4 linked regions of the Lonchura striata genome follow. The protein of the gene in region 3 interacts with the protein of the main gene of each other region in a pairwise test. Links are inferred from orthologs where the notes say so. Each region holds a gene or a part of one and is shown on either strand. Other genes may lie near its edges.

Region 1 (7,460 bases), on a different chromosome or scaffold from region 3:
TCTCTGCAGTTCACCGCATCGGGCGTACAGGCCGTTCAGGCAACACTGGCATTGCCACCACCTTCATCAACAAGGCCTGTGGTGAGGAACAGCACGGGGCTAGGGGCTGGAGGAGGCAGCTGGGCAGTGCCAGGGGGGTGTTCTGAGCAAGCAGAATGGCTTTGCCTGACCTGTGTCTGTGCCCCCAGATGAGTCAGTGCTGATGGACCTGAAGGCTCTGCTCCTGGAGGCGAAGCAAAAGGTGCCACCGGTGCTCCAGGTGCTGCACTGTGGGGACGAGACCATGCTGGACATCAATGGTGAGAGACCCCAGGCTGACACAGGGACCCCTGTGGGGCTGCTGCAAAACCTGGGCTCCAGACGGGACCCTCCAGCTCCCAGTGCCACAGCATTGGGAAGACACTGGTGTAGCCCCTTTGCTCTGGGGTGGGGGCTGCTGTCCTGGTGTGGCACTGTGCTGCCCTGGCGTGGCATTGTCCTGGCCCTGACCCCATCCCTCCCATTGCAGGTGAGCGGGGCTGTGCCTTCTGTGGTGGCCTGGGCCATCGCATCACCGACTGCCCCAAGCTGGAGGCCATGCAGACCAAGCAAGTCAGCAACATCGGCCGCAAGGACTACCTGGCCCACAGCTCTATGGACTTCTAGCCTGGACAATGTGCTGCCCCTGGGTGGGCCTGGGCTTCCTTTCAGCCTAGGGGCCTGTCTTGTACTGCTGTGGCCCCATTTCTAGAATTTTGGTCACTGGGACTTTGCCAGCTCAGGCCCTGCAGGAAATGTATGGAGCTGTGCTGCAACAGCCCATTACATCAGCGGTGTGTTGGGCAAGCAGGTAGCAGTGCCTCAGGGCAAGGGAAAGCCCCAGGTGGGGCCACTGGTCTGCTGCCTCTGCCAGCCCCCTGAAGTGGTGAGGTCATGGTCTTGTGTTGCTCCTCACAAATCCACCCAGTTTCTCTGGGCCCATCTCCCTCACCTGGATTTGTGCATTCTCAGGTGGCTGTTCCTGTCTCCCCAGACATGCTGGGAGGATGCAGCCAGGGTGAGGTGGAGCATGCTGTGCTCATGTCAGGCACTCCCCGAGGTGCTTCCTGTGCTCTGCCCCCGCGTTCTGCCCCACTGCCCTGCTGTGAGGGGGAGGGACAGGCACACGGACACCTCCTGCAGCCCAGCCTCTGCCCCCCATCCCACACCCCAAAAAGGGGAAGTCTCTCAGAGACGGAAGTCTGCCCCATGCCTTTCCTTCGACTGCAGCAGTCACATTTTCTCTGCTGCGGGTAGCCTGAGTCCCTTATCCTTGCGCTGGCTGCCCAGGTGAACTCGGCCCATGGAGAGACCAGTGAAGGATGGGATCCTTTATGTGCAGCACACCAAATTTGGAAAGGTAAAGGGTGGATTTGGGGTTGGTAGAGGGTTTGCTCTGATTTGACATGATGCTGGGCCTGGGGCTGGGCCCTTAGCAGCCTGAGAAGGGGCAACTGCAGCAGTGGGGGAGCCCTGGGCTCAGCAGCCCCATAAGTGGGGTTTTCCCGTGGGGCTGAGGGGACTCATCTGTGTGGGCACCCACTCTGGCTCACGTGTGTGTTGGGTTCTTCTTGCTTGGTCACCACGAGAGTCTCAATGGAAGAATAAACGTGTTAATATGGCGCAGCTTCAGCATCTGTGTGTGTGTGTGTGAGCAGGACCCTGGGCCAGCACGTGGGACGTGTCCCTGTGACCTCCATCGGCCTGGCCCTGTGGGGCCAGTGCCATACAGCAACACCCTCATGGCTTGGGCTGCTTCTCTGTGCTTTTGGAAGGGGCACTGAGTGCTGCAGCTCTTGGGGCAGGGTATGGGTGACATGGTGAGAGTACCTGGGGTCGGGCCAGCTCCAGAGAGCAGTTGGGTGTTGGCAAAGTAGGTTCTGCCGGCACACTGGTCACGCCATGGCAGGGTGGCCATGTCCTGTGGGGGTCTCAGTGGATGTGTGGGGCTGCAATCGCACTCTGACCTCCCTGCTGAAGAAGAACCAAGCCCTGAAAGTGCAGCAGGCAGCCGTGTGTGTGAAGAGCTGGTGCCCTGCCATGTAGGAGGCAGGTGGGCTGGGGGTGGTGGGTATTTTGGGTGCTTGGCTGCATGTGGTTCCTGCAGGGCGGAGGCTCTGCTGCACTTTTGAGGTACATGGTGGCACGCGCCCCCGCTATCCCATGACAGACTGGGAAGGTGCTGGTGCTACAGATGCTCCCCTGGGAGGAAGCAGGCTGCTGAGCAGATGTGAAGCTGCCAACAGGAGCCTTAGCAGCTCAAAATGGCTTTAATTTGCATCAGGGTCTGTCCTGAGAACAGCTCGAGAGCTCAGCTATAGGTCGGCAGGCCAGCACTTGCAGCAGGGAACAAAGAGCAGGACCTGGTGCTCAGGGAGCCAGGAGTGAGTGTGACTCACCCAGTGAGCCATGCCAAGCCTGCTCGGGGCAAGGCGCCCCTCTGCCCAGCTTTGTGCCTGCCCTGCCCCACAGTTCAGGGGTCTGTGCTGGCCCCTGTTCTCTGTGCCCTCCAACAGCATCTGGTGGGTGCAGGCCAGGACTCCCCAATGCCCCTCATGCCCTGTATGGAGGGCAGTGCTGCCAGATGCAGCAGCCAGCTCTTCACTGATCCATTTTTTCCCTGCTTTGCCCTTTCCATGCATTAGAGGTCCTGGAGGAAGATGAGAGCCCAGCTGTTCGCTGCCAGCCCGTCCGGCGTGGCCCGCATGGAGAAGTTTGATGTGCGGGATGATGGCACGATGCCAGAGAAGACATCCCTGCAGCGGTGTGCCCGCCGGGTGATCCGCCTCTCTGACTGCGTCTCTGTGGGCCCGGCGGGCACAGAGAGCTGCCCCAAAGCCACCGCTGCCTTCTACCTCACCACCACGGAGAAGAGCTATGTGCTGGCAGCCGAGCAGCGCGATGAATGGATCACCCAGCTCTGCCAGCTGGCTTTCCAGGTACCAAGGGGTCTGGCAGAGCCCAGAGCCCTACTTGGGTGAACTGCGAAGCTCCAGGGCAGGCAGGGGATTTGTCCTCCCCACCCCCTGTCCCAGGTCATACTCACATCTCTTTGTTTCAGGGTGCAAAAGAGACAGTGCCGAGTAGTGCCAGCACTCAGCCTGGCCCCGCTGTCCCCATGGAGGAGAACTCCCTCTACTCGTCCTGGCAGGACCGTACGTGCAGGGGTGGTGGAGAGGGCTGGGGTGGGCTGCAGCTCAGTCCTGCGGTGCTGACCTGTGGCTTGCTCGGCTCTCACAGTGACTGAATTCTTGGTGCTGGTGGTCCAGACAGACGCAGCCACCCGCTGTGGGCTGCACGGGCACTACCTGCTCTCAGCCCTTCCCCAGAGCCTGACGCTGAAGGACCCCCAGTCTCGCCAGCCTCTGCTCACCTGGCCCTACCCCTTCCTTCGCAAGTTTGGCCAGGATCAGGTGCGTTCCCCACTCCCTTTTGGGGCTGTTGCCTGCCCAGGGTGGGTGGCAGCCCCTCACTCTCGCCTCTGACCCTGCAGGCTGTCTTCTCCTTCGAGGCTGGCCGCCGCAGTGACTCCGGCGAGGGCACCTTCACCTTCAGCACCCCACGGGCCCCTGAGCTCTGCCGGGCTGTGGCTGCTGCCATTGCCTGCCAGCAGCAGGGCAAGGACACCCTGGACCCCAGACTCTTCTGTGTCTCAGAGCCCCAGCTCTTTGCACAGGGCCTTGAGCCCCAGCCCTGGGGGTCTGGGACCGATGATCCCCAGCCCAGCCCAGCCCTGGGGGGGACACAGCCCGCCTCCCACCCCCCTGCCAACCTTCTCCGCTTCACCCCACCAGAGCCGGAGGGCTCATGCCCCATCGTCTATGCCTCCATCGCCCGGGGCCAGCAGCCCCTCTTTGTGTCAGGGCAGCCAGGCTCTGGGGAGCCCTGGGCCGTGGGGAAGCCGCTCCCTGAGCATCTCTACGAGAACATCTTCACCGCAGAAGCACATCCAACCGGGGCCCAGGAAGAGGAGGAGGAAGGGCAGTGGGAGCTGGGGCGCCGGCAGGCCCCCGAGGGCCACAGCAGTGATGGGGGGCCCGTCTATGACAACCGGGCCGCCCTGGCACAGAACCCGCGGGCCGCGGGCTGGGGGCGCGCAGGGCAGGCGGCGCTGTCGGGGCGCTCCAGCCACAAGCCTCACAGCACCCTTCGGGCCAAGCTGGTGCGGCTGCTGAGCCGGGAGAGCCCCGGAGCGCGGGACTGGGCTTGATGTGGCCGGTGCCGTTCGGTCAATAAAGGCCCTGCCCGGACTCGGCTCCGCCGCTGCTGCCGGGGGCGGGGGGGGCGGGCGGGGGCAGCTCCAGCCTCCCCGCTAGGGGGCGCCGCCGCGCCCGCCCCGCCAGGCAGAGGCGCGCTCGGGGATTGGCCGAAGCGCCCGCTGGCTCCGCCTCCCCCCGGTCCTATATTAGTGGGGCCGGGCCGGGCGGGGGCGGTGCCCGGGTTCGAGTCCCGCGTCCGCCCGCTCCGCTCCGCTCCCGCCCGCTTCGCCGGGCCCCGCTGGCCGCGGGTGAGTCCGGGGAGCCGGGCCGTGCGGCTCCGTCCTCTGCCGGGGGGATGGGAGTGTGAGGGGTGGAGGGCTGGGGCTTGGCTTAACGGGAAAGCGGGTGGTCAGGGTCGGGCCCGTGTGGGGCAGAGCCGGCGTCCCCAGCCCCTGTAGGGGGGCGGCGGTGTGGGATGGGGAGGGGTCCCGAGGCGCCCCGGGGTAAGGGTGGGACCGCCCAGCAATAAGCAGGGCTGCCCAGCCTGTGCACGCCGGGGACCCCCGTGCAGTCGGGGAGGGTGTGGGGTCTCCGCCCGCCCCGTCCCGGCGCCTCGCTGGGGCTTGCGCGGCTCCCGGGCGCCGGGAATGCCTGACACGCAGCTCTTCCCCCGGCCCTCCCGAGCGGGGAGCGGGCTGGTGTCGTCTTACACGCCTTATATAGACCGCACCGGCCCGGGGAGAGCGGGGGCACGCTGGCCCCCGGCCCGTGCGAGGCGTGGGGAGCCCCGCCGCCGGCCCTGGCCGCCCTCGGCAGGAAGGTCCTGGGGCCGTTCGGAGGGGTCTGGCGGCTTCTTCCAGGTAAAAGGTGACGGGAGGCTGGTGCTGGCCCATCTGTCCGGAGCCTTGGCCGGCTGACAGCTGTCAGGCAGGGGAGTGCCGGGATTCCCTCCTGCCGAAGCCCCGGAGATGGGCTCGCTCCCAGGGAGCATCTGCTCGGCCGGCTGCCGGAGCGCCAGCCCCTCTTCTCTGCCAGGCGCCTCGGGTGGCATCACGCAGCTCCTGTGCTGCGGCTGCTGCTAATTCATCCGGCAAAAATGCTTCTGGTTCCTACCGTTCTGTACCTGCTGTTGATTCTCTGCGGTCTGAACAGCCTTGGCTCTCAGCAGCAGGAGTTCCTGGGGTGCTGCAAAGGAGAGCACATCCCAGGTTTGGGAAGAGAGCAGAGCCCACAGACACTCCGCTGTGGGTGGCAGCAGGGCTGTGCCTGGCTTCCTGGCACTAGTCAGTGTTAGCCTGGGCCCCTCAGCTCTGATGTTGCTGGAGGAGATGCTGATGGATTTGGGGTGCGTCTCTAACCACAGTGTAGGATGATCAGGGTGGAGTTACAGCTGGAAACGTGACCTGCCTCCTGTCCTACCCTGCCAGGCACTGAGCCTTCTCCTCGCCTGCTCTTCCTGCATTGTTTCCACATACCCTAACGCTGGAATCACATCCTCTTCCCTTGCAGAGATGGGCGACATGGAGTCCTACAAGGTGATGCTGAATGGGCCGGCACCCTGGGGCTTCAGGCTGCAGGGAGGGAAGGATTTCAGCATGCCACTCTCCATCTCCAGGGTAAGAGAAACCGAGGCTGGTGACACCCATCCTTCCTCCTGCCTCTGTGGGCGGGAGGCCGCAGTGGCTGAGGCAGAACCCTACGGGGGATGTAGATGAGCTGGGGCCCCGGGAATGCTGCATCCTGCCCTGCCTGGCTCCACGTAGCCTCCTTGGTCCCTTATCAGCTGCAGCTCAGCACGGGGGTGTTCCGGGCAGAGAGCTGCAGCAGAAACATGAAATTCTGCACAGCCTCTGCAGAGGGGGGCAGGGGAGGCCCCTTCCGGAGTGTTCCCACTACAGCAGGAGGGGATCTGCACTCTGAGATGTGGGACTGGCTTCCTGGTCTGCACCCCAGCACTGGGCTTGGCATCCCAGGACTTAGCCAGTGCCCTTCAGCACCCTCATTTCCCCAGCACAGCTCCCAGCTCTGTGCCTGTGGTCATTCCTGAAATGGGCAGGGAGAGGAGGAAGCTGCACTGCTACCTGCATGGATGTGACTCCCTCCGCAAAATTCTCCCATTTCTCCAGTGAGAGCCATTGGCCACAGCTGGTTGTGCCTGTGACCGCTGGTTTGAGCCTCTCCTGTGGCAATGTTCCCGGGTCTGACCCTGACTGTGTGCAGGTCCCCGGCCCTGGGCGGGTGCTGGCCACAGCTTTGGCCACGCAATTGCCTTATAAGCCTTGGAATGTGAGTGCATCGCCTGTGCCGCTGGCGCTTGGGCAGCTGGCACGGAGGCGGCTTCTCAAAGGACAGCTTTGCCTGTGGCATCGAGTGCTGCGTGGGGACCTGCCCCTGGCTCGAGCTGGGCACTGCACACGTCCCCCAGAGGGCACAGATCTCCACAGCATCCCAGCATGGAGCATGGGCCCTGAGGGCACTGTGTGAGGCTGGAGTCGCCTGTGCCGCTGCCCTGGGGCCTGCTGATCTCTGCTGAGCACGCAGAGACAGATTCAGCGAGTTTATTCTCTAAAAAATGTTTCTCTTGGCTGCGAGCCAGTTCTTAACAAAGGGTCTGGTTGGATGGAGGAGCCTCCCAGAGCCTGGGGCAGGGGCCTCGTGAAGCAGTTCTCGGTGAGGCTTGGGCAGTGCTGCTGTCCTGGGCAGGGCAGGAGCAGCAAGGACATTCCCAGGGGATGCAGCCAGATTTGGGGGCTCTCTGGTGAGGCTGGGCTGCATGGCAGGGCGGTGTGCTCTGATGGGAAAGTGTCAGCCTGTGCTGCTCTGCACTGCAGAGGCACCCCCAGACCCAGAGCTCCTGCCCAGAGCATGCCGCTGTCCTTGGCTACTGCTTCCCATGAGCTGGCTCTGCTGCAGAGGCTGGAAGGAAGCATCCTGCCCTAGCTTTGTGGGCTGCAGTGGGGCCCTGCTCTGCAGGTCTGCAAGGGTGGGCAGCACAGGACAATGCTGTCCATTGGCTTGACTTTCAGCTGTGTCCATCACTGTGGCACTCCTGGGTGAGCAGTGAAGCTGTTTCAGCTCACTGATCACACAAAAGAGGTGCCACCATGGTCCTGCTAGGGTGCTGACACGGGGCCTGCTAGGGTGCTGACACCCTGGCTAGGCAGGCTGTAAACCATGGTCCCTGTGCAGGAGCTGTGATAAGGACTGCAGTCTGGATAGCTGGATGCTGTGTGGCACCTCCTG
Region 2 (7,152 bases), on a different chromosome or scaffold from region 3:
CATTTAATCTGTTCCTCTAGTCTAGAATTTGCTTTCTGACAGCCCAGGATAGTTCAAGTTATGAACAAATCTGATTAGCCAAGTAACTCATGCTTGAAATTGACTTCACTTGGAAAGAGCAACAGTTTAATTACCCAAACCCAAGTGCAGCCAGCACGGGAAAGTAACAAAAAATACAATTTATCAACAAACTCAACATGGAGAAGAAATTCCAGCCTCTATGCAGTGCAAACAAAACCTGGAACATTCCCTTGTCCTGAAATCAGGTGAGCAAGGGACAACAGCAAATTACTGCCATGGTTATTCCTTTTGCTGGATTCTTCCCAAGACTCAGCTCCCCTTCTCCCAGCACTGGGTGGTTCCTGGGGGGAATGCAAGCTCCCCATCAGGAATTTGGGAAGGACTCTCACCTGGGTGAAAGCTTCTTTCTGTCTGCTGCTCCTCTGCTGGGCCAGGTACCGGATCAGAGTGTTGTTTTCTGGTGATCCCCTCAATCCAATGGTTGATCTTCTCCTAAATTTCAGTGAAGTTGGGGAAGGCCCTGAAAAGGGGACAAGAGGAGAGGTGAAAAAGAAAAACAAAGTACAAAACCACAAAAATGTTTTGTAATACCTAAAGCTTTAAAATGGTAATTTAATCTTTTTTAGAGGTTGATTAATGCTACTTATTCTAAGGTATAAAATTACCTGCTCTGCCCAAGAAACCTCCCTGAGCATATCAAATAATCACGAATCAAGTCTGCCTTTTAGCTTTTCAATTGTTTGTTAGTGTGCACCAACACTTGCAGAATTTGTCTTGCAACTCCCTTGTGAAACAAGACGCTTCATTAACTGGAGAGAGATACACAGGGAGCATTTAACTGTGTAGGATATGCCCAGAACAGTTAAATGGCATAATTACCCTGTCTGTGGCATGTCCTGTAGAGATGCTGCAACAACAACCTCTTGAGAGTGCTCCTGGGCACATCCAAACCCTGCTCACCTGAACCTGCCCTAAATGAGAGCCTCTGGAACGAGGCTGGACTAAAGGAGCTGGAGAATCTCCTCTGAGAAGGACAAAAGCCATCTGTCACCCCAGCCTCACCCGTGGGTCGTGTTCCAAAACCTTCCTGAGCGATCCCAACCTCGGCATTTAGCACAGCAGCAAAATCAACGGGTTTTTTCCTCTGTTCAGACAGCCCAAAATCAGGCTTTCCCTCCACTTGGTCCCTCTCAGGAGTGGAGAAGGCGTTTCCCAAGGGAGCAGCCGGGCTGCTGGACAAATCCTCCCTGGTGAGCAAAGGCAAGGGGGGCTCACTGAGCACATCCCGCCCCAGTGCCCCCGAGCAGCCCCCCGGGAGCTGCCAGCCCACATCAGCCCCCTGGGGCTGGCACGAGCTCTCCTCGGGGCCTCTGGGGCATTTCCAGGCACGTTTTGGTGACCGTGTCCCCTTCCCATCAGTGAAATTCTCCTTCTTGGATGGCCTGATGACTCTGGGCTTGGTCGCTTTGCAGCTCTTCTGGGCTCTTGATGGAGGTAAAGAGGCCTCTTCCTTCTGTTCAGGACAGCCACTCTCGTTTTCTTTAACTTTCAGGGGAGTTTTAGATCCTCTGAACATTGTTTGGGATTTATTTGAAAGAACATCCACTCAGCCTTTGCTGCTGTAATTACAGATTCCTATTAAAAAGAAAATAAAAAACTTATTTACTAAGAGCAAGAACTCACTACCATGCTCAAGCTTCTCCCAAATCCACATTTTTCCTGGACAAGGTGTTTAATAGTGGGGTGGGAAAGGAAATTTATCCCCTAAAACCTACAGGGAAAAGACACAAGGGGCAGGGAGCAGAAAGAAAAACACAGAGCAATAAAAACCTGCATTATAAACGTGCACAGGAGTGGCAAAGGGTAAGGAGCCACAAGGCTATGATTTCACTCTGTTAAACTCCACATGAATATAAAATATGCGTACAATATACAATTATCACAATTACACTGCAACTGTTTTGCTCCAAGTGTTACAATAAATATCAGCAGTTTCATACTACTTTTAATAGCACTAATTAGTAGCAGCAGAAAGAGAATGCAAGTCTTAGAAAGAAATCAGCAGAAGAAACAACACTAGTAATACTTTTTAACTACCATTAGCTTCTAATCTAGCTAAGCTAGATTTTTTTGCAATTCGTTACTTGAAGTGAATGATGCACAACTCAATAACGTGACTCTGAAACTTCACTTCCGCAAACACATGCACTTTTAGCAATAAAATTACGGAAATTAATCTGCTTTACAACGCCTGGGCAAACCTTTTCTTTCTTATTCTTTCTTTTTCTGCTCTTAGGCCCCGGCAGAGCCAATGGCCACAGTCACAGCCACCAGCCGAGGAGGGGAAAACATCGAGCCGGGGGCTGCCCCGGTCTGTAGCGCTCCGTGGGCTCGGGCACTCACAGCCTGCAACCCCGGGAGAACATCCCGAGGATCCCCCGGGAGCGCACCCGGAGCATCCCCCGGGAGAACATCCCGAGCATCCCCCGGGAGCGCATCCCGAATATCCCCCGGGAGCGCATCCCGAGCATCCCCGGGAGCACATCCCGAGAATCCCCCGGGAGCACATCCCGAATGTCCCCCGGGAGCGCATCCCGAGCATCCCCCGGGAGCGCATCCCGAGCATCCCCCGGGAGCGCACCCAGAGCATCCCCGGGAGCACATCCCGAGAATCCCCGGGAGCACATCCCGAGCATCCCCCGGGAGAACATCCCGAGCATCCCCGGGAGCACATCCCGAGAATCCCCGGGAGCGCATCCCGAGTATCCCCCGGGAGCACATCCCGAATATCCCCCGGGAGCACATCCCGAGAATCCCCCGGGAGCGCATCCCGAGGATCCCCCGGGAGCACATCCCGAGAATCCCCCGGGAGCACATCCCGAGAATCCCCCGGGAGCGCATCCCGAGGATCCCCCGGGAGAACATCCCGAGCATCCCCCGGGAGCGCATCCCGAGGATCCCCCGGGAGAACATCCCGAATATCCCCCGGGAGCGCATCCCGAGGATCCCCCGGGAGAACATCCCGAGGATCCCCCGGGAGAACATCCCGAGCATCCCCCGGGAGCGCACCCGGAGCATCCCCCGGGAGCGCACCCGGAGTATCCCCCGGGAGCGCATCCCGAATATCCCCCGGGAGAACATCCCGAGGATCCCCCGGGAGAACATCCCGAGGATCCCCCGGGAGCGCATCCCGAATATCCCCCGGGAGAACATCCCGAGGATCCCCCGGGAGAACATCCCGAGAATCCCTCGGGAGAACATCCCGAGGATCCCCCGGGAGCGCACCCGGAGTATCCCCCGGGAGCGCATCCCTAATATCCCCCGGGAGCACATCCCGAATATCCCCCGGGAGCGCATCCCGAATATCCCCCGAGAGTGCATCCCGAATATCCCCCGGGAGCGCATCCCGAGGATCCCCCGGGAGCGCACCCGGAGCATCCCCGGGAGCGCACCCAGAGTTCCCCCGGGAGAACATCCCGAATATCCCCCGGGAGCGCACCCAGAGTACCCCCGGAGCGCACCGCCGGCATCCCCCGGGAGCGCACCGCCGGTACCCCCGGGAATCCCGGAGCGCACCCCGGGTATCTCCGTGCATCCTCGGGCCCCCCGCTTGCTCCCGGCCACTCTCGGGGTCCCGTTCCCCCCCGAGCCGCCCTCACCTCAGCCCCACGCCCGTCCCGCCTCACGCTTTCAAACCGCGCCACGCCCCTGCGGATCCCTTCGCGCCCCCGCCCCTCCGCCCACCCCAGCGCCCGCCGCAGCCAGCCCGGCTCCGGTAGCACCGTAAGGAGGACGGATCACGGAGGCGACCCCTCACCGCTGCTCTGCCCCGGGGGTCCGCGGGGCTGGCGGGGACAGGGAGGACTCTTTGAGCCGGCGGAGGGATCGCGGGCCGTTTACCGCAGCACCGCGGTGTAGGGGGAGGAAGAAATAAACCGATTAAATGAATTCATTCAACGGCCCGCGCGCACGTGACGGGCAACAACCAATCACAGAGGAACTATGCAAATATCAGCGCTTCTTCTAGTGGCGATTGGCTGCCGCGCCGAACTTTATCCCGCCTCCTCGCTGCCCGTTGGGCGGACGCGCGGCGCTGATTGGCCGCGGGGCCTGCCCGTCAGCGCCCGCCCCTTCCGGGTGTCGCGCGGCGGCGGGCGCAGCATGAGGCGGGTGACGCTGTTCGTCAACGGCAGCGCCCGCAACGGGAAGGTGAGGCCGGAGCGGGGCCGGCCCCGCTCCCCGCGGCCCTGCCCGGCCCTCCCGCAGCCTCCCGGGGCAGCCGCGCCCTGCTGGGGGCAGCGGGGAGCTCCCTCGCTGGGGGCAGTCGCGACAGGGGGGGATCTTTGGTGGCTTGAGGGAGCCGCGTCCGGCTGCTCGTGCGGGGCACGGCTGTGGGATGAGGGCTCTGAGGGGAGACGGGAACCCTGGGGATAATCGCACTGAATTGTTTAAAAGCTCGCTAAAATCATCTCAGGGCTGAAAACTGTGGGGTTTGGGCCCAGGCAGTGCTTGTCCAGCAGAGGAAAAGGCCCTGGGATGCAGTTCCGCACAGAGTCCGTGATCGTGGTGTTCATTTTGGTGTTTCCATCCACATGCTGAGTGCAGACGGCGATGTGACTGTGCTTCAACGTGTAATTCTATTAATTCTGCCCACGATCCCGGGTGCAGGAGTTCATGTGGCCGCATTTCAGCCTTGCACTTCTGCTAAATCACGTCTGTGATGCTGATTTTCCATCCACATCCTGAGTGCAGACAGTTCGCGTGCCTGTCCTTTAATCCCTGTGTTTAGGCAAGGAAGAACACTTGGGAGAGGCTTGGAACAGCACAAGCAGCAATGTTTCTTTAGAGAAAGAAATAGCTGAATTACATTCCTCCAGCACCAACATTTATTCCCTCCATGCTGTTGCAGTGAGTTTTGGTGGGAGCTGTGCAAGCCACCCTGTGTTTGTGTTCCAGCACCAAAGCTGGGCTTTTCCCTTGTTTCTTGGTCAAGATCCAAATGGATTTTGCTCCTCCTAATAGCCCCAATGAAATCTGAAGTAGCAGAACTTTGGAGCGGTTTGCTGGGTTTGTTTTTATTCACAGCCTCTTCTCTCCTCCCCCAGGTGGTGGCCGTGTATGGGACTCTCTCAGATTTGCTCTCTGTGGCCAGCAACAAGCTTGGGATAAAAGCCACCAGCGTTTACAACGGGAAAGGGGGACTCATTGATGATATTGCTTTGATTAGGTGAGGCTCAGCCAGGAAAAGGCAAACCAGAGCTGTGGATTAAGAGACTAACCAGTTAATCCTCCTTAATCCATACCCAGTGCTTTCCCTAAAACCAGATGTGATCATTTCCAGCCAGGATGCCCAAAGGTCCTTTGTGTCTTTCTAACTTCAAACCATTTATTGAGTCAGAACTTGATACAAGCTGTGTTTGAGGCATTTTCACCTCCTCCTGTGTTGATTCTAGGGCAATGGTTGTGCTGTGAAATCCCCACTATTCCAGTGAGCCCTGCAATGGGGGGATTTCTGTAAAAGAGACAAATTCTGTCAGTACTTTGGCTTCACAGAATAGTCCCAGACTGGAGAGAAAAGCAGCTATTTTGTAAGAATTAATTGATTACACAAGTGGTCCCTACCTGGCTGCTGCAGATAAAATCTCTGATGAGGTCAGTCCATTCCAATCCAGTAGAACCTTCAAAATACGGATAAAAAATAGATAAAGAAATTTCAGCTAATAGCCACTGGTCATAATTTACCTGAAATAATCACGAGAGGTTCCACTATCTATTAGATGAACAATAAATTACGATTTAAGTATGATTAACCTTCTTTTTCTCTTCCCTCTGCCCCCTCCTGTCTCAGGGATGATGATGTTTTGTTTGTCTGTGAAGGGGAGCCCTTCATTGGTGAGTCTGTAATTCTTACTTTTTAAACCTTCTATTATTTATTAAACCTATTTAATAGAGTTTATTTTGCATTCATATGAACTTAAGATTTTATTTTCTGGTATTTTCAGAAGATACCTCTTTGTAATTAAAGAATATTAAGGATTTTTCCAGTAATTAGTTTGTTTCTTCTCTGCAGATCCTCAGACTGATGGGAGGGCTCAGGAGGAGCTGACAGGGTCCCACACAGACTGGCTGACTCTCAATGTGGGCGGCAGATATTTCACCACCACCCGGTAAAAATGGTCTTCAAAAACTCCAATAAAGCAAAATACCTTAAAAAGTAACTTACTGTGAAGCAGGAGGTCTTTGATTCCTGCATCTTTCTCTGTATTTTATGTTTGCCACCACAGTTTTGCAAGAAATTAATTCTTAAACGTTTACAGATGAAAGAGAAGTAAAGTTGGGCTGCTTTTGTTTTCTAGGAGCACTTTGGTTAACAAAGAACCTGACAGTATGTTGGCACACATGTTCAAAGACAAAGGTGAGTATGCTGAGATGAACTTTATTATTTTTAAGTAATAAATGAGCAAAGTAGATAAAAGTTACTGTCAGGCTAAGACTGTTGTTCATAAAGGAAAATATGCAAAGTGTGTTAAAGTACCAGAGCAGAACAGGGAATTATTTTTTATTAACTTTATTCCTCTCTTTATCATCTCACCACCTAATGTTGATCATTTGTCTCACAAGCTGCAAACACAGCTCCCATCCATTGTGAGTAGTTTGGGTCCTTTGTTTGTTTACTTGATTTGAGGTTTTTGTCTTGTTGCATCTTCCTCAGTTTTGTCAGCAGAGCAAATGAGCAAACTGCACGAGGCAGCCTTGGGGAGATAATCAGACTAAATTTCAGTGCTGCTTTTATCCTAGACAGGATTCTTTTGTAAAAATCCAGTTATTCAGAGCAGGAACAAGGTCATTTTAAGCTGATTTTTCCCCTCACTCCTCTTTTCCTTCCTTCTGTCTCCAAACTGCCCTTCCAAGTGGAATGTTTGCTATTCCAGTCCCCTTTGGTAATGAAAAACTCTGAAAACTGAAGCAAATGCTCTTCTATCACTACATCAAAAGTAATTTTATATATATATATGTTGTGGAAACAGATGCTTGGGGGAATAAGCAAGATCCTAGAGGAGCTTTCCTCATTGACCGCAGTCCCGAGTATTTTGAGCCCATTTTGAACTATTTGCGTCACGGACAGCTCAT
Region 3 (6,890 bases):
AATGCTGCTGTGATGTGGAAGGAAAGGAGCTGGTGGAACAAATTTAGTACTCCCTGTAAGCAACTCTAGGAACCACGTCGACCAAATCTACACCACTGAAAAGAGCAATGTCTATTTTTAAAATTTGATGCTGGCACTTTCAGGTGCTTCTGACTGTGCCCCTTAAAATGAATCAATGTTTTATTATTTCTTAATTACTCAGTGTCTTTCTCTGCCCTGTCCCCCTCTTAACACCCTCAGTAATTTACCTCAGGCACATAATCCTTCATTTCCCTACCTCATACATCCCAGTCTCAGAGTGTTTGAACCCTTGCACCTTTTCAGCCAGTGTGAAACTTGACACTGAGTCATCAGATGTGAATTGGGATCAGCAAAGGCAAAGCTGTGGACATAAGTTGGTGTAAGTAATCCAACAGTTCCATTGCTGTGGGCTCAATGCTGCTTCATCCCACATCTATTTTTGCCTTTTGTTCTACATTTGCTCGCCCAGCTGCCTGTGGCTGCCTGTGCAGTAGGAATGGATGGTGACAATGGAGCAGCTTCCCTAGGGAGGGCATGCAGTGACTGTGGGCACTCCCAGCATGTCCAGCACTATCCAGCCCAGCACCCAAATTAATTTCTGTCCATAGCTGCTGTTGTTGGTAGGGCTGAGAATAGCCAGGGTCTGCCAGCACTGCAAGATGTGAGAAGCACAGAAAGGTCTGAAATGCCACAATGGTTTGGAGGAGAGGCAGACCTCATTCATTGCCTGTGCAGGCAACTCACTGTTGGAAACAAAGTCAACAAAGCCAGGCTTTCTGAGGAGAATGATACAGGTGAGCTTCTCTGCTGGATGTATAGGGAGAAAACACACTTTCAAACATGCTGCATTCACTTTTCATTAAAATAAATCTGAATTTTGTTTTTCATGCTTTTCTTTTTCCTCCCTGGAATTCCCCTCCTACTCCAAGATGATTTATGTTTTCTCTGTGGACAACACTTACACCAGAAGATTTGAGGAACTACTTTTACCATCATATACATAAATTCAAACTGGCTAATTAAGTGTCAGCTAAAAAGCACTGCTGTTATATCCAATGGAAAATTTCTGCCTAATTGCTCTGGGCATCACCTGGTCTAATTGTAATTGTCTGGGGAAGGATTGCAGAACTGCTACTCTGCAATGTTTACTTCATCCTGGCTGCAGGGAGAATTCCTTTAAGATGTGATTAATGAAACAGAGAGTGGATAAGATGGAAGAAAAACAATGCCTCTGACTTCTGATATGGCAGCGGGCAGTTACGTTCAAGCACTCGTGTGCTTTGCGACAGCACTGGCCTTATGGTTTGTCTCTTCTCATGCCCGTGCCTTGGGCAGGCATGAGACTTGCAGAAATGTTGACCTGCAACGAGTGCAAAAGGGCTGAACAGACCAAGACTGCACCAGTCTCAGTCCATGGGATTGTTTTTGTCCCTATGAAGGACTCAGTTAATATATTTCAGTAATCAGCCTGCTGTTATCCCTTGTAAGTACCCAGAGGCTAAAAAGGCTGCATCTCTCCCCAGCTTTAAAAACAGTTAAGAATATGTTTCACCCACAGATAGAGTGAGTGAAGCTCATGAGTGCTGATGGCATTCCCTGAGGAGCAACAACGTCACATCCTGTGGAGGTGTATGCAGAATGGGACCTGGAGAGTTAATTGTGCACTGGAAAACCAGAGTAGGCTCAGAAGAGACAGTACAAAGAAAAACACATATGTGCAAGTTCCCCAAGTACAAGCACTTCATGCCATGTTGGGACAACTCTTCTGTATGGCTTTAGGGAAGAGATATATTGTGTAGTTCTGGAGAGACATGTTTTCTTTGTCTGTCTTGAATTTTATGAAGAGGATATGAAAGATGATGTCTAGCAATTCCTAATCTAACAGTAACTACAACTAAACACAAAGGCTTTTCTGCCTTTGGTTTATTTCTTCTGTCTGCACTTTCTGCTGTGATATATGTTAAACATTTGGGTGAGACATTAGAGCCTGCAGTTTTGCTGCAATCACTGGCCATAAATCTCTCCAGTCCTGCAGTGGACAGGTTTTGCTTTTTTACTCAGCAGTGAAAAATTACAGACAACTTACAGAGAGCTATGCAAACCTGAGGTTCATACTGCTCCAACCACCCACTCACCTTCATGGTTTCCAGCATGTTTCAAAAAAACGAGCAACTTCAGTTGGGTATGCCAACAGAAAAGGATTTTTGCAAAGTACTGTCCATGTCACAAACCTTCCTGGATAGAGATCTAGTTACATTTTGTGCAGGAAGTATTACAAGCCCCTCTGTACAACCTACACAGAGGGATGTGGCACTTTGTGCTCTTTGGGATTATCGCTGAGCAGCAGAGGCCCTGATGAGTAAGAGACAGGTGGGGTGAAGATGCAGGACCTGGGGCCAGTTGAGCTGCTGCCAAGCACTGAAATACATGTGAAAGAAAGTCAGGGCATATTTTTGCCCAATCCTACCCTTGGTAGATCTGCATAATTTTCATGTATACTGATGAGTACCTATTGCTTCGTGAAAAGCTCTTGGCCTTTAAAACTTGAGAATGGCTCAGGAGGTCCCTGAGAACCCTCATGAAAGATACAGGAATGCAAAAAAGCCAATGGGAAAATAAGGCAAAGAGATTTCAATTGCAGTGTTAACAAGAGATGTTTTCTGCACATCAGTGTTCCCTTCAATAAAGGTACATTGTCAGTTAAAGATTTGCTTACCTGTAGCATGGAAAAAAGAATTATTCCCCTGTTTGAAGCCAAAGTTGTTCAGACTTCTAGGATAAGAACTTTTCTGTTTGATTCAGGGACCAGGAGATTGTAAATATAAATGTAAATATAAAATGTAAACATGTAAATATAAAAGAAAGCAGTAGGACCTCATTATATTTAATCCAGAGTCTGGATAACTGGCAGCTGACTACAGGGTTTGTTTATACTTACATAAAAGTTGTGGTAGCCCTAGTAAGTAGTTCTGTCACGGTTTCTTACTCTTCCTTTGCTAATGAAGAAGTATGTTGTTGCAAGTTTCAACAGGTTTGGATTTCTTGCCTTCTGGCAAAATTTCTTCTGCCAATCAGCTATGAGGCTATAAAAATTTAAGGACCAGACCCTGAGTTTGTGGCATGTACACTATATAGTGATTGTTCCTGTGCACAGTGTCAACACTGTGTGACTTTGTGCAGACTTTGTGTGTTCTGATGCATTTTTGCCAACATCCAGTTGCAGCAACACTGAATTCATAGTTGGATGTCTTTTCAAGCCCTTGGTAGTAAAATATTGAAGCAGAAGTGAGAAAGAGATGCTTATACAGATCAGAAGACTGGGTACAGTCACTTGGAGCCTGACAGAGAATAACATATTTGTAAATACTGGTGCTTTAGAAACAAAGAAACAAACAAAACCCCAACTAAGCCCCTAGAATTAATATTCCTACTTCTAAAATATTTCAAAATAACATTCAGATATTTTATTCCAGAGAAATGTTTTGTCCAGCAGGGGGTTAAGTGTGTTTTGCCGACAGAGAACAGATACATAATACATTTACAGAATTTAATGCATTAAATAAACTTAGGTGATTTTTAAATCATCATTAATTTTGATAACATTTGAATTTAAAACTCTCTGAGGCTAAATAACATCCATTATTTATTTTTGTTCCACTTTCCTGTTTTCATCACGCAAGAACCAAAAGTGTTTATTTTACTGGCAATATTGAAACAATCACATGATTTTGAGTAAGTCTTTTGAGATTGTTTGCAAGTTTTTCTCTGCTGCACGTCTGCTTTCCCCCAGCTGGGGGCTGGCTGTTGTATGGGAAGGCTGGCCACGTCACGGAAAAGCCCTGTCTCTGATCAGATGGGCTTAATATAAACCAGGTTTGCTGAGAAAGAATTAAAGAGGCAGACCCAAAGCAGGAGAGGATTTACTTCAGCAGAGCTGCTCAGTGTGTCACAGCCCACCGAGGGAGAAGGGCAGGGGGAACAAAGGACTGGACTGGCTGCGGGAGCCTGGCACAAGTAAGAGTGGATTTGGACCCAGTCTTTTCCTGGAGCTGCTGCAGACCCAGGCAGCTAAATGCAGTATGGGGTAGCAAAACCAGTTTGAACTTGGAGCACAGTGTGTGACAGGGACTCCTTTGGCTTTTTTTAATGAGGGATGACAATTTGTGAGAGGCTAAATTGTAAAATATTTGTGTTTGTGATGTTTTTGTGAGTGACAGCTTGTTGCAGGTTGTGAGTTACTCTGTTGTTTGAATGCGATCTGGATTTTCTCATCTGATCTTTTCAATGGGGATACTGAAGGGAAAAGTGCATTTCAGAATTCAACCACAGCAAATATTTAAGTTTGTTTGCGAAGAAGTCTTTGCTTAGTACGTGATTTCTTCTTCAGATGTATCTCTTGCTGACAAAGTTATTGTGACTAGGACCATGAAAACGATCTCCTTTTGCCCCAAAGTACTGCACATCACACAGAAAATATTGTGTATTCTGTAGTAAATTCAGATAGTGCTTTTTCTATATATTTTGTCCTTGGTCCTGCTGGGAATTTAGTCACAGAAGTTTTCAGACAGTTTTTTATGAAGAAGAATAGCAATTTGTACATGTTGCTTTACTGTACTTTTTACTGTTCACCATTTATTATTGAGCTTTGAAAGTAGTTGGGTGAATTTTATGGACAATTATCCTATTTACTGATATGGAGGAGAGAGTCAAGAAACATCAGATATAGGGCAAAAAAGAAAAATGTCTGAATAATGGTCACTTTGGAAACTGGAGTGCATCAAAGTAACTTTCCTAAAAATGGTAGGTATTGGCCTGTGAGAATGACATCACTCTTCCCTGCCTCCAAGCAAGGCAAAATAGAGTTTGCTGAGTAAAATGTAATTAAGAGCTATGCTTATTTTAGAAAAATGAACCTATCTAATTAATTGTGCAGAAATTAAGTAATTGATTTAATATCTATAAATTAATGAGCCTTTTATCTCAGTTCTATCTCTTGTAGAAGCTATAACTTGTACCTCCTCAGAAAAGCTGTTGGATTTCACTATGTCCTCCCTCTTACCAGCCAAAAAGTCACTGTCTGAGGCCGAATCATTCTTTGTTTACCTGGCCACAGACAAGACCCAAATCCACCCCATCACAGCAAGACTTGCTTGCATGACTTTTTGTACCAGGGTTGTCTCAAGAGTGCAGTGAATTATGACTTATTGCTTTCCCAAGAGTTTCAGCTCTTAACTGAGTCAATGAGAAAGATGCTGTACACCCAGCTGCTCCGGCAGCTGGAGGCAACTGGGACCAGTGTCTCTGTCTGTCCCCAGTGATGCCAAAAGGAGGTGAACATTGCCTGTACCACAGGCAGTCTCTCGGCAGGGCTGCAGCTGCTGTGTAGGACCGGTGTGGCGAGCACTGTCCCCTCCTTCTCCTCCTGGGACGCAGCAATGCCTCCCTCTTTCCAGGACTGGGCTGCACCCAGCACAGCCGTGAGCTAGTAAAGGCTGAACAAGATAGGATTTAGCATGTGAGGGTGGTATTATCCCTGGGAAACAGTCTCTGTCTCACTAGCTAATAAATAAAATACTGCTTTGTGCACCACCAAGTACGCTAGAGTGCAGAAAGGCTAATTTTTCTTTTCTCACATATTAGGTCCTTACAGAGGAGCATGATGTGGCCCCTTGAAGCTAGTAAGAGAGCATTTCTAAATGTTTCGTGGGTAACATTTGTGATTTCCCTATTTTTCACTAGGGGTTAAAAATGACTCTCAACAATGTTACCATGCGTCGCACACACAACAGCAGCCCGCACCAGCAGCAGCAGCGATGGAGCATCCCTGCTGATGGAAAGAATCTGCTGGTCCAGAAGGACTCCAATGAGTACAACCCACAGAAACGATACACCATCAGTCCTGATGAATATTACAGAAGGAGCTGGTCCTCGGAGTCATCCGACTCTGTCATCTCCTCCGAGTCTGGCAGCAGCTGCTACCGCGTGGTGCTGATCGGGGAGCACGGCGTGGGGAAGTCCTCGCTAGCCAACATCTTTGCAGGCGTGCACGACAGCATTGACAGCGACTGTGAGGTGCTGGGAGGTAGGTAATTATGTCCTGGGGTGTTGGTGTTTGCCTGCAGTCAGCTCTGCCTGTAGTAATTGGCACAGAAAAAGAGAGAGGCCATTTAATGGAAACCAGAAGTAACAAGTGTTTGGGTCTGATTATAAAAACTGATTGAACTCAAGCACCTCTTTTAAGAAAAGAAGAAAGCAAAATAAGATGAGTAAGATACTCTCCAACAATGACTGAAAGCCACTGAAAGAGAGCAATTCAGATTCTTATGCTGTTTCATTCCAAAATACCAGTTGGAAACTGCCTCATTCCTACCTGTGATGATGCTGCACAGGAGTCTGCTTTAGCTTTCATAGCTAGTCCAACATTGGTGTTACCACTGGCATCACAGGGCTGACTCCTGCTTTCCTTTTGAGAGAGAAAACAACTGAAGGTCCTCATGATTTACAAGAATTAAATAATTTAAAATAATATATAGAGAAAGTTACATCCAAAATATTTGCCATTAGAAGTATGTATGGACTGAATAAAATATATAAAATTTTGAGTAAAAACCTTGTTTCATGTTATTTGCACAGTATGTGCTCCTCCAGAAGATGCTTCCCCCTTCTTTCCCCCCTTGATTTGCTTATGATTGCAAAGTTTAGGATTGCAAAGTGTTTTTTAATCCCAAAGATCAGACTGTGCAGAAGGTGAAGTTGGAGCACCAAATCCTGGGTTATACTGTGTGCAAGGTGTTGATGTGGAAGGGTTGTGCTGCCAAGAAATCTGCTGTGTCTCCAAGGATGTAGTCACTGCTGCTTTCAGGGGACAT
Region 4 (7,307 bases), on a different chromosome or scaffold from region 3:
GCAGAAGGAGGGGGTTCCTGGGCGAGGGACTGGTGTAAATCAGGATAAAAGCCCTGATGCAGCAGGAAGTCTGGGGCCAAACTCCTGGTGGTGTAAGTCACCAGTTTACACTGTGGAGGAGCTGCTCCTGGGGGAGAAAACTTGCCTTTACCCGTGTTGGATTTATTTTGCCTTTTTTTTTTTTGTTGTTGTTGTTGTTTGGTTGGGGCTTTTTGTTGGTTTTGGGATGTCTTTTTTTTTTTTTTTTTATACAATGAAATCCTGAAATATTTTATACAAAGGCATTTAAAAGTCTATTTAAAGAAAATAATGGAAAACAACTTGTATATTTAATATTATTAATAAACAGAGATGTGTAGCTTGGTGTAAGTCTGGGATGCAAGGGGGGACTGGAGATTGTGGCTGCCCTGTCACATCCCTGGGGTCCCTGAGGGGGTGACTGGGGCTGAGTCCTGGTGGTTTTACCCTGACCTGCTTCCCTGGGGATGCGTGTGGGAGTTCGTGGCCACTGCAATGAGGGCAGAGGGATTCATCTGCCCTTCCTGCCCCAGCTCTGCCGGCACCGCTGAGAGCTCCAGGCACCGGCTCTGGTGCTGTGGCCCCCCAAAATCTGTGTGAATGGTTGGGAAGCAGCTGTTTAAAACAAAGACACTTGAGGCAAAGTTTCCTGGAGCACTTTGCTTAGAGTGACAGCACTGGAAGAGGCATTTCCTCCCCCCACATCGCTCCCCCTGCTTTCTTTCCTTCTTTCCAGGAGCAGGGCAGCCCCATACCCTGATCCAGCGTCTCCAGGGGGATGCCAGGGGGCTCCCCATCACCCTGGGTCCCTACCAGCCCATGGGGTGTGCAGGGTGAACACCCCCCCTGCTCATCCGAGGGGGGGGCAAGGGCAGGAGGGGTCTAGGAGCTTTCTGTGAGTGCCAGGGCTGAGCTGCTGCCTTGTTTGCTGACAACCAGGATTCCTCGAGGGGAGCTGACTCAGCCCAGCCCTTCCTCTCCCCAACAGCAGCCGGGGGTTTCCCAGGTCCACATCCCCTTCCCAGGGAAGTGGGACCTATATATATCCTGCTGGATCCGTGCCACGGTCATTATGGTCAGATTTGGGGGGTATTTGAGGCCGGAGGCTGCTCTTAGGGGTGGGCACCGTGCCCGGGTTTGGGGGTGCTGAGGGCAGCGAGTCCCTGGCCTGCTCCAGGATGCTCCAGGGTGCTCCAGGGTGCACCAGGATACACCAGGCAGCTCCACAGCTGCACAGGAGAGGGTGGCTGGAGCTGGATGAAGGCAGCTTGAAGCTAAGGCAGAGCTGGGGGGCAGAGCTGGGGGGCAGAGCTGGGAGCATCCCAGTTTGCTGGGCGGTGTGGGGACCACCAGTGCCCACCCCTCTGTGCTTACACCTCGCAGTTGCTCATCCCTGACTTTTTCTGGCTGCTCTGTGTGCTGTAAAAGCATCTGGAAAATGCAGGAAAAAAGCCAAACTGTCTCCCTGCCCTCAGGTTCGGGCCAGGAGGGTCCCTGTGCTCCTCATGTTCCCAGCTGGTGCCTTTTCCCCACCCTGTGTGGGAGCAGGGATGTGATTCCCTGCCCCGGGCACCTTCCACCCCCAGCCCCTGCAATCTGGGGGGCAAAACCTGCTCTCAGCCCCCCACTCAGGAATCCCATGGAGCTACATCCCTGTCCCTCAGCACCTGAAGGGGAGGGGAGAAAAGAACCCCCCATCCCAGGATTGAGTGGGGCACTCGGGGGTCCCTCCGGGGGTCCCAGATGGGTTTGTACTGCAAAAAGGTGCTTTGATGGGATGAGAACAGGGAGTTTGGGGGAAAAGATGGATGGTGGGAGGGGAAAGCATTGACAAGAGGCTCAGGGGACCTGAAGCATGGGCTGGCATGGAGTGACTATGGTCACCAGCACCCCCCCCCCGGGGGTCCTGGGGGTCCCCACAGCCCTGCTGCTTGTGGCATTGGCAGGGCTGGGACATCTCTCAGGCTCATCCCGTTCTCCCGAAACCTCCCAGGCACTCGGAGACCCCCCCAGATGTCCTGAGACCCCTCCCAAGAGCCCCCAGAGAGCTCTGCCCACCCTGGAAGCCTCCCCAGAGCCGCCGCGGGCACCGCAGAGCTGCTGACGGGGCAGAAGCAGCGGAAAGGCCCCGGGGCCGCGGTTCCCGGGGCACGGCGGCTCCGGGACAGGGTTTTGGCCGAGGAACTGCTGCAGGATTTAGGTGGCCAGAGGCCCATTTTGTGGCCAGACAAAGCGGTTTTGGTTAAAAACCGTTATCTGCTCTTTCCCCTGGGGATTTTAACCCACACGCTGATTTTTTTTTCCCCAGGTTGTATTTTAAGGGAGCAGCCCCGGGGAAGTGAAGGCGAACAGGGCTCAGAGCCCTCCCTGCTGCTGGGGGGCGTTTGGGGATGGGGTGGTCCGGGCTCAGAGCCCCCCGCCTGTCTGTCTGTCCTGGAATGGCCCCTAGAGCCCGTGTGGGACTCTGCGGAGCCGGGAGCGCTCCGGGATGCGGATGCGGCCCCTCAGTGTCCCTGGCCCCGGGGACAGGCTGGCTGTGACCCTCCCGGGAGCGCAGGAGCCGGCAGAGCCCGCTGCGGGGCGGTGAGCAGCAGGAGTGCGGGAGGAAGCCCCGGCCAGGCTCAGCACTCCCAAAAAGTGCTCAGCACCCCCACGCTGGGCTGGGGATGTGGGCGGGTGATTCCGAGCCCCGGTGGCTCCGCTCGGCTCGTTAATGGGTAACGAGGGCCGGGAGGCGCTGCCCCGAGCCCGGGGGGCTGGCACCGCGGGGGTTAACACCGCTGGGATGGGCACCCACAGCTCGGGACCTGGGGATGGACACCCAGAGCTCCGGGACCGGACACACACCTGGGGATGGGCACCCACACCTCCGGGACCCGGGGATGGGCACCCACACCTCCGGGACCTGGGGATGGGCACCCAGAGCTCCGGGACCGGACACACACCTGGGGATGGACACCCAGAGCTCGGGACCCGGGGATGGGCACCCACAGCTCGGGACCTGGGGATGGGCACCCACACCTCCAGGACCTGGGGATGGACACCCACAGCTCCGGGACCTGGGGATGGGCACCCAGAGCTCGGGACCTGGGGATGGGCACCCACAGCTCGGGACCTGGGGATGGGCACCCAGAGCTCGGGACCTGGGGATGGGCACCCACAGCTCGGGACCTGGGGATGGGCACCCACAGCTCTTTTAGTGTCTATACTTATTTAGAAAAATTGTATATAAATTAATATAATTTATGTAATACGCTTATATAATTCAGTAATTTAATATAAATTCATGCACACCATATATATATGCATAAAATTAATGTATAGAAATTTTATAGCTTTATAATAACTTAGAAATGTAAATATACATAACTTATAGATATAAATAAATTAACATATTTTGCACATTTATATATAATTAATATTTAATTTATGTGGTTGCTATTTAATGCATAAAATTAATCTTAATAATTTTTTCATTTAGTCTAAGTAAGGAATTTAATTAGTTTTAATTTAAAAACTAATTAAAAACTATTTTAACTAAAAAACTAATTATATGCATATATAATTATTTATTAATTAGATAATGAATTAATGATGAATTAATTATATATGAATTATATATTAATTACATATTAATTATATAATTATATGCACTACATAATAGTACATATTATATGATATATTATAGAAATTTATATGCAATTTTATTTATGTTATATAATTATTGTGGTTAATTGGGATTTGGCCCGCGCTGAGGTTCCTGACCACGCCCCCCTGAGTGACCACGCCCATCACAATAACCACGCCCCTCACCGTGACCACGCCCCCTGAGTGACCACGCCCCCTGAGTGACCACGCCCCCGTTGGCCCCGCCCTCGTTCCCGCCCCTCAGCGCCCTCCCCTCCGTGTCCGCCAGGGGGCGCCCCGCCCCTCGCCCGCTCCCCCGGCGGCGCCGCGCGGCCTCGGCAGCCCGGCGGATGACGTCACGGCGCGGTGACGTCAGGAGGCCCCGCCCCTGGCGCGCCGGCCGCAGACCCGCCGCAGGCAGCGCGCCGGCGGCAGCGAGCGACCGAGCGGGACCGGCCGGGCGAGCCGAGCCGAGCCGAACCGAGCCAGAGCTAGAGCCAGAGCCTGAGCCAGAGCCGGGCCGAGCCAAGCCAGAGCCAGAGGCGAGCCGGGCCGGGCTGAGCCGAGCTAGAGCCATAGCCGGGCTGAGCCGAGCCGAACCGAACCGAACAAAACCAAACCCAGCCGGGCCAGAGGCGAGCCGAGCCCGCAGTGCTCCCGGCCCCTCCGCCGGCCCGTGCCCCGTTTGGTCCCGCCGGCGGCCGCGGCCCGCCCCGCGTTCCCCGCCGCACCAGGATGTCGGTGCCGGAGCCCGCCGGCGGCGAGGAGAAGCAGGCCAAGGAGGTGGAGGACGCCGAGAAATATTCCTTCATGGCCACCGTCACCAAGGCCCCCAAGAAGGTAGCGGGGCCGGGACCGGGGGCTGGCTCGGGGTGCAGCCCCGGCTGCCGGCGGAGCGCTGTGCCGCAGGGGCACGGGCTGTGCTGGGCGCGGGGAGCAGCCTCCTCCCGGCGGGGGCGAGCAGCCCGAGCTGCAGGGGGAGCGGGGCGAGCGCCCGGTCTGCGGCGGGACTGGCCCCTGGCGGGGCATGCAGCCTCCGCTCCGGGCGGGGAGCAGCCCCCGGCCGTGGGGAGCAGCCTTTGGTTGTGGGGAGCAGCCCCCGGCCGTGGGGAGCAGACCCCGGCCGTGGGGAGCAGCCCCCGGCTGTGGGGAGCAGACCCCGGCCGTGGGGAGCAGACCCCGGCCGTGGGGAGCAGGAGCCCCCGGCCGTGGGGAGCAGCCCCCGGCCGTGGGGAGCAGCAGCCTTTGGTTGTGGGGAGCAGCCCTCGGCCGTGGGGAGCAGCCCCCGGCTGTGGGGAGCAGACCCCGGTTGTGGGGAGCACCCTCAGCTTTGGGGAGCAGCCTTTGGTTGTGGGGAGCAGTAGCCCCCAGCTGTGGGGAGCACCCCTCGGCCATGGGGAGCAGCCCCCGGCTGTGGGGAGCACCCTCAGCTTTGGGGAGCAGCCTTTGGTCGTGGGGAGCAGCAGCCTTTGGTTGTGGGGAGCAGCAGCCCCCGGCCATAGGGAGCAGCCTCTGGTTGTGGGGAGCAGCCTTTGGTCATGGGGAGCAGCCCTCGGCTATAGGGAGCACCCCTCGGTTGTGGGGAGCAGCAGCCCCCGGCTGTGGGGAGTACCCTCAGCTTTGGGGAGCAGCCTTTGGTCGTGGGGAGCACCCCTCGGCTGTGGGGAGCAGCAGCCCCCGGCCATAGGGAGCAGCCTCTGGTTGTGGGGAGCAGCCTTTGGTCATGGGGAGCACCCCTTGGCCATAGGGAGCACCCCTCGGTTGTGGGGAGCAGCCTTTGGTCGTGGGGGGACACGACCGTGCCCCGGCTGTGGGAGGAGCGGCCCCACAGGTGTGGGGCTGTGCTGGAAGGCTGGAACTGACTCAGTTTGATGGATCAGTTTAACTGGGAAGTGGGGCTTGTCCCCATGCAGTGGCAGAGAGGGGGACTGGCGAGGGGGCTGGGGGTGGCAGGTATGCCCCAGGGGGCTGCTGGTCCAGTTTGGGTGGGGAGGGAAGGGTTTGGGTGCTGGGGAGAGAGGGGTCTGTACTGGGGTACAGCCCTGGCCCGCATGGGGGTGAGGGGAGGACCAGTACCTGCAGGGCAGGTTCCAGGGGGCTGGGGCCAGCTCGGGTCAAGCCCTGGGGGCAAGAGCAGGGCTGTGGCATAGGGGGGATGCAGGGGGACAGGGTGACCCCGGGAAGGGGACAGGCAGGGTGGGCCCCTGGAATGGGACTGTGGCGTGATAGAGCTTTGTGGTGGGGACAAAGCAGGAGGGACCTGTCATATGGGAAGAGCCAGAAGCAGCAACCTGGAATCCAGCTGTGGGTCACTCAGAAGGGTGGCTGAGAGATTTCAGAGTGTTGAGTTTTTTTGGGGGCAGGTTCTGTTGGAGGTGTGAGTGGGAGCACCTTTGGGCTCAGGAAGAGGCTGCCGAGTCTCCTCAGTGCCCCTCCATGCCTGAAGGCCTCACAGGAGCTCTGAGATCTCCCGGTGCTGCTCCCACACCCCTGTGGGGTGCTCAGGCGGCACTGAGGGTGGGCGAGCGCTGGTCTTGCCCCTGAAGCAGGGTTCAGGACCCCCGTGACCTGGGGAGCTGGCCCTGAGCTCTGGGCTCAGTGCTGAAGTTTCAGCACGGTCAGGGAGGCAGGTCTGTGTTCCAGGCACTGCACAGAGCTGTGCAGCTGAACATTGCGTTCCCCTCGGGGCTGCAGCCGCCTGGAAGCGGTGGAAGCAAAGGCGGAGCAGTCACAGAAAATGGGAACATCCTCCTCCTTCGGGGGAACCTCTCCTGCCTGCTCTGGCCACGGCTGGGACTCGGGAGTGTCTGGCCCTTGGGGAAGGTCAGCTGGATTTGAGGTATCTTCTCTCCCAGGGAGCAGGGCTTGAAGACTGGGCCCTGTTTGTCTGGGCTGTGGACATGGCCTGGAGGAACGAGCAGAGGAATGTGGGGCTGGGATCTGCCTCTTCCAGCAGTGGCTCAGCACAGCTTCAGCTCAGGAATTGTTTTTACCTTTTCATAACCATCATCTCTGTCAGAGCTAACAGCAGGAGACTGCTCCAAGGAGACAGCAGGCTGCTAATCCTGTAGCATCCCATGGAACCAAAACACCTGTGGTAAAAGAGAGTCCATTGAGCATCCTCAGAGGCAAGTTTGCCATCCTCTCAGGGGGGTGAGATGTATCCCCAGAATTTTCTGCTGCAGACTTGACTGTGCAGCATGAGGAGCCTTGGTTGGACTCAGTGGCTGCTGCAGCTTTTCCTGGCTGGGTGAGGATATTGAAGGTGCCCAGAGCGACACACGACATTTGAGGCTGATAACATCAGAGATGGGGAGCGAGCTGAGCTGAGCTCAGGGAATGAATCGCTCCGGGCTCCTGTTTTCCTTGCCTGGCTAGTTCCTGCAAATAGTGCTGGGGAACAGCAGAGGCCTTGGCAGGAGGATGAAAGACCAAGGAAGGGAGAATTGCTCTCCTGAGATAAGCTGTTGAGTGCCCCCAGCTCTGATGCCTCAGAACATGATTGCAATTAAGCCATTAAAACGCCCTTCTGATTCCCTGCAAGTCAAAGTGGTTTTTGTGCCAGCTGCCCTGGACCTCCTGGCATGGTTAGAGGTCAGTGGAGATGGTGGAGAGAGATGATTTACCAGCACAGAGGTGGGCAAGATAGTGCTGTGCTGCTG

Evidence for each region.
Region 1: the proteins of GEM (region 3) and PDLIM7 interact in binary tests that used the Homo sapiens proteins (3 or more experiments, as listed by UniProt). The two-hybrid records come from large-scale screens. The link is inferred for Lonchura striata from reciprocal best matches to the Homo sapiens genes GEM and PDLIM7.
Region 2: the proteins of GEM (region 3) and KCTD9 interact in binary tests that used the Homo sapiens proteins (3 or more experiments, as listed by UniProt). The two-hybrid records come from large-scale screens. The link is inferred for Lonchura striata from reciprocal best matches to the Homo sapiens genes GEM and KCTD9.
Region 4: the proteins of GEM (region 3) and AHCYL1 interact in binary tests that used the Homo sapiens proteins (3 or more experiments, as listed by UniProt). The two-hybrid records come from large-scale screens. The link is inferred for Lonchura striata from reciprocal best matches to the Homo sapiens genes GEM and AHCYL1.

Annotation. Positions count from the first base shown.
Region 1 is NC_134617.1:3,217,882-3,225,341, reverse strand, and holds the start of PDLIM7 (PDZ and LIM domain protein 7), read left to right. Parts: upstream 1-4,460; 5' UTR 4,461-4,525; intron 4,526-5,726; 5' UTR 5,727-5,728; coding exon 5,729-5,833; intron 5,834-7,460. Other genes in the region: putative ATP-dependent RNA helicase DDX41, read left to right, coding at 10-81, 189-299, 509-645; DOK3 (docking protein 3), read left to right, coding at 1,322-1,378, 2,664-2,957, 3,080-3,173, 3,259-3,431, 3,512-4,228. UniProt on the Homo sapiens protein: May function as a scaffold on which the coordinated assembly of proteins can occur. May play a role as an adapter that, via its PDZ domain, localizes LIM-binding proteins to actin filaments of both skeletal muscle and nonmuscle tissues.
Region 2 is NC_134634.1:2,694,985-2,702,136, forward strand, and holds the start of KCTD9 (BTB/POZ domain-containing protein KCTD9), read left to right. Parts: upstream 1-4,147; 5' UTR 4,148-4,182; coding exon 4,183-4,230; intron 4,231-5,126; coding exon 5,127-5,248; intron 5,249-5,869; coding exon 5,870-5,913; intron 5,914-6,091; coding exon 6,092-6,188; intron 6,189-6,377; coding exon 6,378-6,436; intron 6,437-7,049; coding exon 7,050-7,152. Other genes in the region: CDCA2 (cell division cycle-associated protein 2), read right to left, coding at 411-541, 1,084-1,597. UniProt on the Homo sapiens protein: Substrate-specific adapter of a BCR (BTB-CUL3-RBX1) E3 ubiquitin-protein ligase complex, which mediates the ubiquitination of target proteins, leading to their degradation by the proteasome.
Region 3 is NC_134603.1:24,314,241-24,321,130, forward strand, and holds the start of GEM (GTP-binding protein GEM), read left to right. Parts: upstream 1-3,874; 5' UTR 3,875-4,035; intron 4,036-5,760; 5' UTR 5,761-5,769; coding exon 5,770-6,103; intron 6,104-6,890. UniProt on the Homo sapiens protein: Could be a regulatory protein, possibly participating in receptor-mediated signal transduction at the plasma membrane. Has guanine nucleotide-binding activity but undetectable intrinsic GTPase activity.
Region 4 is NC_134632.1:1,193,107-1,200,413, forward strand, and holds the start of AHCYL1 (S-adenosylhomocysteine hydrolase-like protein 1), read left to right. Parts: upstream 1-4,301; 5' UTR 4,302-4,380; coding exon 4,381-4,485; intron 4,486-7,307. UniProt on the Homo sapiens protein: Multifaceted cellular regulator which coordinates several essential cellular functions including regulation of epithelial HCO3(-) and fluid secretion, mRNA processing and DNA replication.